Linked DNA regions of Macaca fascicularis. The protein of the gene in region 1 interacts with the protein of each later gene in a pairwise test. Links are inferred from orthologs where the notes say so. Each region holds a gene or a part of one and is shown in the gene's direction. Other genes may lie near its edges. The genes, in order: HOXA1 and SLIT1.

What was found.
Region 2: the proteins of HOXA1 (region 1) and SLIT1 interact in binary tests that used the Homo sapiens proteins (3 or more experiments, as listed by UniProt). The link is inferred for Macaca fascicularis from reciprocal best matches to the Homo sapiens genes HOXA1 and SLIT1.

The regions. Positions count from the first base shown.
Region 1 is NC_088377.1:103,176,144-103,180,483, forward strand, and holds the start of HOXA1 (homeobox protein Hox-A1), read left to right. Parts: upstream 1-1,378; 5' UTR 1,379-2,209; intron 2,210-2,331; exon of another isoform or gene 2,332-2,354; 5' UTR 2,355-2,425; coding exon 2,426-3,077; intron 3,078-3,538; coding exon 3,539-3,894; 3' UTR 3,895-4,340. UniProt on the Homo sapiens protein: Sequence-specific transcription factor. Regulates multiple developmental processes including brainstem, inner and outer ear, abducens nerve and cardiovascular development and morphogenesis as well as cognition and behavior.
Region 2 is NC_088383.1:105,945,277-105,949,084, reverse strand, and holds part of SLIT1 (slit homolog 1 protein), read left to right. Parts: intron 1-1,715; coding exon 1,716-1,953; intron 1,954-2,644; coding exon of another isoform or gene 2,645-2,752; exon of another isoform or gene 2,753-2,783; intron 2,784-3,623; coding exon 3,624-3,754; intron 3,755-3,808. UniProt on the Homo sapiens protein: Thought to act as molecular guidance cue in cellular migration, and function appears to be mediated by interaction with roundabout homolog receptors.

The DNA.
Region 1 (4,340 bases):
CCGAAGCAGCGAACTAGCAAAGGGAGAGTGGCTCCTGCCGGGGTCGGCTTTGTGGCAGGCGCCCTGCAGCCGAGGGGGTCCTGCAAACCCAGGCTGAGGAGGGCAACCAAGGTACAGGAATGAGGCAGCGGGGGAAAATGTACTGACTTGCTCAGGCTTGGAGGAAGGATTGCTCTCATAGCCAGCACCGACCTCCTCACATCCTGCCCACTCCCCCACAGGAGCTCTTTCTCTCCCTGCCGCTGGAAGCTGGCGCTCCCAAGGAAGCCACCTCCAGGAGGACCGCCTTGCCTTTCCCCTTCTCCAGAAGGATGATTCCCAGGAGCCGAAACTGGGGCAGGGGTGGCTGCCCAACCCCAGGAAGCGGCTCTTTCCTGCCCCTGCTCCCTCTTAACCATGCTTGGAATGGATCAAAGTCACAGAGAAATACCAACCTGAAAGGAAATGTTTGGGGAGAATGTTTCATTGTTACTGAGGGAGTCCAGAGTCAGCATGGGTTTTCCCTCTTGAGGGGACAGGTTTGGGGGAGCTTCAGTAGGTGGAGAACAGAATACAGAAGACTGAAAGGGTGACTAACATATTTGAAATGTGCCTGCCTTGAAAAAAAAACCTTCCTTGTTCTAACAGGGGAGGAAAGGCTGAAGGGGAGTGGAAACCCCAAACCCACATACATTCCTCACTATAAATTCCATCTGATTCCAACATTGTACACATGGTTGGAGTAAAATTTATACAGCATTGGCTGCAAAGCTTCCTGGACGAGCTCTCGATTTCTCCTACCCAAGACTGCATCAATTATTGGTCTCCGTTTGGCTTTTTCCTCTCTACAAGCCCAGGGTTGACGTGAAACCTAATAGTAAACAACAATTAACGACCTCAGCAGCGTCAGGGTAGAAGGAGGGTGATGGGGAACAGGACCCTTGGCCTGGGATGACGCTCAGATTTTCACGTGTCCCTCTAAGGAAAGACTTGAAGGTTCTCATAAGCAACTACCCAGCCAGTTGGAAAGGGGAGGAGGTGTCGTTGGGGTAAAGTGTTCTGTCCACCATCAGCCATCTGTCCACCGCTCCTCCCACCTGCCAGTCCCCGCACCCACTCTAGACGCGCAGCAGAATGAGGAAGGTTACAAAAGGAAGCTCTCTCTCTCTTCTAACATTCCCCTCCAGAAAAAGAGGAACGCAACGAAGGGAGTTCAGCTACTTTGTTGGAGCTGTGGACCGGCCCTGCGAGGCCCACGCGGGAGCGGAGGCTCCTGGGTCTCGGGCGCCGGCAGATGGCCTGCAGCGCACGGCCCGGCCCCCACGCTGGCCACGTCCGCCAGCGTCATCTCTCTCCCCCGCCTCCTACCCCTAAAAATCCGGCGGTCGAGTAGCTCCGCATCCCGGAGGGCTCCCGCTGCAAAACTGAGTGGGAAAGAAACGGCGGAGAGCGAGGAGAGAGGGAGGGTGGGGAAGAAGAGCCCGGTCGCCCCCGGCCTTTTCCGGCAATCCCTGTTTCCAGGGCTCTTCCGCACCCCCCCTTCCCCGGTCGAATTACAGAAACTCCTCATTGCCATGCTAATGAAGAGCGGGGGCTGTGGGGAGAGGGTTTCGGAGACTCTCCTGGAAGAAGGGAAGTTTCTTTTCTTGCCCTCGTCTCCTTCACCCCCACCCGAGTTCCTCCCAGCCAGCCCTCTGCGCTCTTCCCTCTCCATTCCGCGCTTGGAGAGCCGGTGGCCCAGCCTCGCCCCCTGCCACGGTTCTGTGCGCTCCTCACAGCCCCATGGTCTCCCAGCCCAGCCTCAGAGCAGAGAAGGCGGCCTGGGAACCCGGGGCTCGGTGTCAGCCGGATTCCCCGCCTTCCGGTTGGGTGCGCTCCGGGCTGGGCCCGCGAACCTGCGGCCACCCGGCGAACTCCGGCCCACTAACTCGCGCCCCGAGAGAGCCGGGAGCCCTCTTCCCTTCTCACCTCTCGCCAGTTCATCTTTCAGTGCACAGTGGGGAGGGGGCGGGAGCGGGGGACGCCTCTCAGCCCCCACCTCCCGGAGGCCTGGCGGGGCGGGCAGCGGAGTCGGGCGCGCGCAGAAGGCAGCCTTTGCTCTTCTTCGCTCCAGCACTCCAAATCGGCCGTTGCAGTCGCCGCAGCAGCTGCCGCCGCCTGGGCTGCCTGGGGGGGCGACTGCACGTCACCTAGACGGCGGAGCGCCGGGGATTTAAATGCCACTGAAACGGTGATCCATCACCGCGGAAGCCGGCAAACTTTTGCAGGAGGCTCAGCCATTGGCTGACACCGTCACGTGCCCCTCCCCTAGCGTCCTCCGCCCTCCCGCCCCCCCCCTCTTGCGCACTGTACATTCATATCATTTTTCTTCTCAGGCCCCATGGAGGAAGTGAGAAAGTTGGCACGGTCACCCAGGGCTTCGCAGGACCAGGTCACTCAGTGACAGATGGACAATGCAAGAATGAACTCCTTCCTGGAATACCCCATCCTTAGCAGTGGCGACTCGGGGACCTGCTCAGCCCAAGCCTACCCCTCGGACCATGGGATTACAACTTTCCAGTCGTGCGCGGTCAGTACCAACAGCTGCGGCGGCGACGACCGCTTCCTAGTGGGCAGGGGGGTGCAGATCGGTTCGCCTCACCACCACCACCACCACCACCATCACCACCCCCCGCCGGCTACCTACCAGACTTCCGGGAACCTGGGGGTGTCCTACTCCCACTCGAGTTGTGGTCCAAGCTATGGCTCACAGAACTTCAGTGCGCCTTACAGCCCCTACGCGTTAAACCAGGAAGCAGACGTAAGTGGTGGGTACCCCCAGTGCGCTCCCGCTGTTTACTCTGGAAATCTCTCATCTCCCATGGTACAGCATCACCACCACCACCAGCGTTATGCCGGGGGCGCGGTGGGCTCGCCTCAGTACATTCACCACTCATATGGACAAGAGCACCAGAGCCTGGCCCTGGCTACGTATAATAACTCCTTGTCCCCTCTCCACGCCAGCCACCAAGAAGCCTGTCGCTCCCCTGCATCGGAGACATCTTCTCCAGCGCAGACTTTTGACTGGATGAAAGTCAAAAGAAACCCTCCCAAAACAGGTCAGTCCTGCTGGTTGGTGGATGCTCCTTGATTAATCTGGAAGGAGCTGGTATGCTTAATTTCCAAGGAAAATTAATAATTATCTTTTTTTTTAAAGGCTTTAAGACTAGTGTTGTAGTGCATGGAGAGGGTACCCAGAGGTGTTGGGGCAAAGAAGCCTCAGGGATTGGCGTGTTCTCAAGGATTTTATACATTTGGGAAGTAGGAAGTGTGTGGGGGTGGTTATTGTGACGGTAGTGTTCTGTTAATATCTTAAGGCTCCATTAATCACCGATCTGACCACGCTAATGGTTGACTTCAGGTTAACACTTTACACCTCATCACTCACCCTCCACAGCCCGATTTGTGTTGAGTTCTTGATCTTTTCTTTACCTGAGTGTTGCCATGAAGTGTGTAGGTAATCTCAAGTCGGTTTAAAAATTTTTACCTTTCCATCTCATGGCTTCCCACTTTGCCCCAGGGAAAGTTGGAGAGTATGGCTACCTGGGTCAACCCAACGCGGTGCGCACCAACTTCACTACCAAGCAGCTCACGGAGCTGGAGAAGGAGTTCCACTTCAACAAGTACCTGACGCGTGCCCGCAGGGTGGAGATCGCTGCATCCCTGCAGCTTAACGAGACCCAAGTGAAGATCTGGTTCCAGAACCGCCGAATGAAGCAAAAGAAACGTGAGAAGGAGGGTCTCTTGCCCATCTCTCCAGCCACCCCGCCAGGAAACGACGAGAAGGCTGAGGAATCCTCAGAGAAGTCCAGCTCTTCGCCCTGCGTTCCTTCCCCGGGGTCTTCTACCTCAGACACTCTGACTACCTCACACTAAGGCGGCTCCAGTCCCAGACCACAGCCCAGGCATCTCCTTGGGCTGGGACTTCTTACCCAAAGCACATGCTTAGCTTATCTTTCTTTCCATTTACAGTCTCTTCCTTTCTGATCCTATCTGGGGAGCTCCTGGCCAGGATAATATGTTTGCAGATAATTCTGGACCAGAGACTTGGTGCCGGGTTAACACCTTAATCCAGATTGGGTGCCAGCACACATTTTCTGGTGGGCCTTAACATCCCTCCTGATTTTAGGAGAATTCACAGAACCTACTGTTCCTTTCAGATGACTTTTTGGAAAATAGTTCCCTTTACCAACAGAAACATGCCAGAAGGAATCTTCTCATCTTTTATCTAACTATATGTACAGCTCTCTCCTCCCTTGTCCTTGAAAGTAGGATATAGTGAAAGGAGAGTCCAGGAGCTCACGAAGAAGAGATACACTGTG
Region 2 (3,808 bases), on another chromosome or scaffold:
AGTATTGCCATTTTAACAATATTAAGCATACTGATCCATGAACATGAATGCCTTTCCATTTATTTAGATCTTCTTTAATTTCTTTCAACATTTTATAGTTTTCAAAGTATATGTTTTGCACTTAAAAAATTTATTCTTAAGTATTTTATTGTTTGATGTATTATAAAGGAATTGTTTTCTTAATTTCATTTTTTGTTTGATTTTTGTGCATTAATCTGGTATTCTACAATCTTGCTGAATTATTTCATTAATTCTAATAGCATTTTAATGGACTCTGTAGGATTTTCTTATACAAGATCATGTCATCTGGATGCATTTTATTTCTCCTTCCTTCCCTCCTTCCCTTGCTTGCCTTCCTTCCTTCCTGCCTGCCTGCCTTCCTTCCTGCCTTCCTGCCTTCCCTCTCTCCCTCCCTTCCCCCCTCCCTCCCTCTCCCTCCCTTCTTCCTTCATTCCTTTCTTTTCCTTTCCCTTTTTCCTAAGTGCCACGGCTAGAACCTCCAGTAAAATATTGAATAGAAATTGTGATAGCAAATATTCTTGTGTTGTTCCTAATCTTAGGAGAAAAAAATTCAGTCATTATTAAGTTTGATGTCAGTTGTGTGTTTTTTGTAGATGCCCTTTATCAGGTTGATGCAGTTTACTTCTATTCCTAGTCTGTGGAGTGTTTTTGTCATGAAGGAATGTTGAAGTTTGTCAAATGCATTTTCTGCATCTATTGAGATGAACTTTTTTTTTTTTTTTTTTGCTTTTTCATCTATCAATGTCATATATTCCATTAATTGAATTTCAGAGGTCAAACCAGCCTTGCATTTCTGGCATAAATCTCACTTGGTCATTGTATACAATCCTTTTTATGCTGTACTTGATTTGCTAGTAATTTGTTGAGGATTTTGGTGACAATATTTATAATAGATATTGGTCTGTAGTTTTTTGTGATATCTTTTGTTGTGATGTCTTTGTTTTTGGTATCAGGGTAATGCTGGTCTCATAGAATGAGTTAGAAAATGTTCCTTCATTTTTTATTTTTTGGACAAGTTTGTGAAGAATTGGTATTTATTGTTTTTAAATGGTTGGTAGAATTCACCAGTTAAACTATCTGGGCCTGGGAATTTTCTGATTACTAATTCAATTTCTTTACTAGTTATAGGTCTATTCATATTTTCTATTTTTTTCTTGGTTCAGTTTTGGTAGTTTGCATATTTCTAGGAATTTGCGCGTTTCATCTATGTTATCTAGTTTGTTGGTATATCATTGTTCATAGTATTCCTTTATAATTCATTGTATTTCTATTAGGTTGGTAGTAATGTCCCTTCTTTTATTTCTTATTTTAGTAACTTGACTCTTCCCTCTTTATGCTTGTGTCTTAAATCTCAGTTTTCTTTTCTGTAAAATGTATATAGTAAAATCTGGCTTGCAGAGTTATTGACGTTGTCAGTAATCACCTTGGATCTTGTTAAAAAGCAGATTCAGTGGGTTTCCCATTTCTATCAAGTGTCCAGGTAATGTTGATGCTGCTGGACCAGGGACCATACTTGTATCCTGATATCCTTCTGGCTCTTAGCTCTCTCATGAAAAGTGTTTATTAGGAGCATCTTCTGTCACTTTAAGAATCCATTTTCTCAAGATGTTTAGTGTATTTCTCTCCAGGGCTATGGGAGAGGAAGATACCCCCTTCCTCCTCGGCCCTCTCTGACTTGTGTCCTTTCCTCTCAGTGGACAGCTCTGTGAGATCCCTCCCCATCTGCCTACCCCCAAGAGCCCCTGTGAGGGGACTGAGTGCCAGAATGGGGCCAACTGTGTGGACCAGGGCAACAGGCCCGTGTGCCAGTGCCTCCCAGGCTTCGGTGGCCCTGAGTGTGAGAAGTTGCTCAGTGTCAACTTTGTGGATCGGGACACTTACCTGCAGTTCACTGACCTGCAAAACTGGCCACGGGCCAACATCACATTGCAGGTGCGTGCCAGGGGGCTTGGTCACAGAGGGGAGTCAGGGAGCAGGGGACCCTGGCTTAGGCCAGAGCATCAAGATGCATCCCTGCATGGTGCCTGGGGAACTGGAAGGACTCTGTGTAATCAAAACTTTTTGCATATGGGTATCAAAATCTCGGCTTGAACTGATTTAAGCACAATTAGAAAGGTTATAGTGTCACAAAACCAGGGCAGGGGTGGATGTGGTCTCATGGGTAACTGAATCCAGAAAACCAGACTTGCCATCATCCCCTCCCACCATTTCTTGTCCCATTTCTTGAGGAGGCTGCTCCTCAGTGTCTGCCTCCAATGCTGCAGACGGGCTTTCTATGTGTGGCTGGAACGTGGCCAGAATTAACTTTGGGCTTATACCTTTAACCGTATGTCCCTAGGGTCCCTTAAATTGTCCTTTTCATGCCTTCAGTTCCATCTCAGAACATCTTCCTATTGAGGGGAAAATAAAGCAAGTCCCACTTCAACAGCATTGATGAAATATATCAATATTTTGCTAAATATTTTTGGGGGATGGAGAGGAGAGTGGCTTATATTGCACAGCACATGATAAAGAACGTTAAACTCTCCTTTAGTCATCTTTCTCTTTCCCTCGAATTCCATTCCCTGTCACAAATGCCACATCTTTCTTCCCTCTCTTTTGTCCTCTTTTCCTTTTTTCTCAGAACTCTTCAGCCTCTCAAACATGTGCATTCTGCTCTCTTCCCCTACGTCACATCTCCAACATCCTATCCACTTACATAGTCTGCATGGCAAGACAACAGCTAGCCTAACCGCCAAAAATAAAATTCACCAAAACCCTAACCAGCCATTGCCTCGGGCACGTCCTTGGTTTATCCTCATCTTTTTTTACCGGACAGTGATTTACAAAGGCTCTTCCTTGCCAGCTCTAATTTGGTCAGCTCAAGGAAGATCTCTGATTGGCCTGGCGTTAGTCACATGCCCATCTCTGAACCAGCCGCTGAGTCCAAGGAGATGGGACAGTATGACTAGACAGCCTGGGTCATGTGCCCAGCTCCACAGACCAGGGGGCTCAGGGTCTTTACCAGAAGAAATGGAGGGAGGAGGACAAGAGAGGGAAAAATGATCATGGCTCCTACAGCATCTTAGAGGGATCTCCCTCCTGAGGCAAAGATCTCATTTTGCTTGCACGGTTCCAGCGACAGACACTACCTTCTGAGTGGCTCCTTCCACTAGGCTTGGATGACTCTGGCTGTCAGAGAGCCTTCCTGAACTTGTCCTCTCTGTAGTTCCCCCACTCAGCAGCTAGCTCCCCAAGGCCCACAGAACAGGGCTACCCACACCCTCCAGACAGGGGTCCCAGTCTAATTTTCCTCTCTGGGAAGATTGTCCTGAGGTCTCCTGGCTGCTTTTCCTGGCACAGAGTTTCCAGGCCTCAGTGGCCCGTCACCCTTCCCTGCCCAGACCTGGCCAGGCTGGCAGTGGATGGGGCTTGAACCAGAGGCTGCAGCCCCTGTTGGCGCCCCCTGGAGGAATGGCCTTGGGGAGGCTGGCCAGGTGGGGGAAGAGAGCTCTGCACAGAGCATCTCTCTTCCAATCTTGGGTGCCCTCTCTGCCCCACCTGCTAGCCTGTGCTGCTGCTGCATGGGGTGGGGTGGGAGAGAAAGTGCCACTGCCCATCAGGTCTCCACGGCAGAGGACAATGGGATCCTTCTGTACAACGGGGACAACGACCACATTGCAGTTGAGCTGTACCAGGGCCATGTGCGTGTCAGCTACGACCCAGGCAGCTACCCCAGCTCTGCCATCTACAGGTAGGGCTTCCTCATGCCCCCCAGCTGCCCTCAGGGGTACAGGACTGCCAAGGC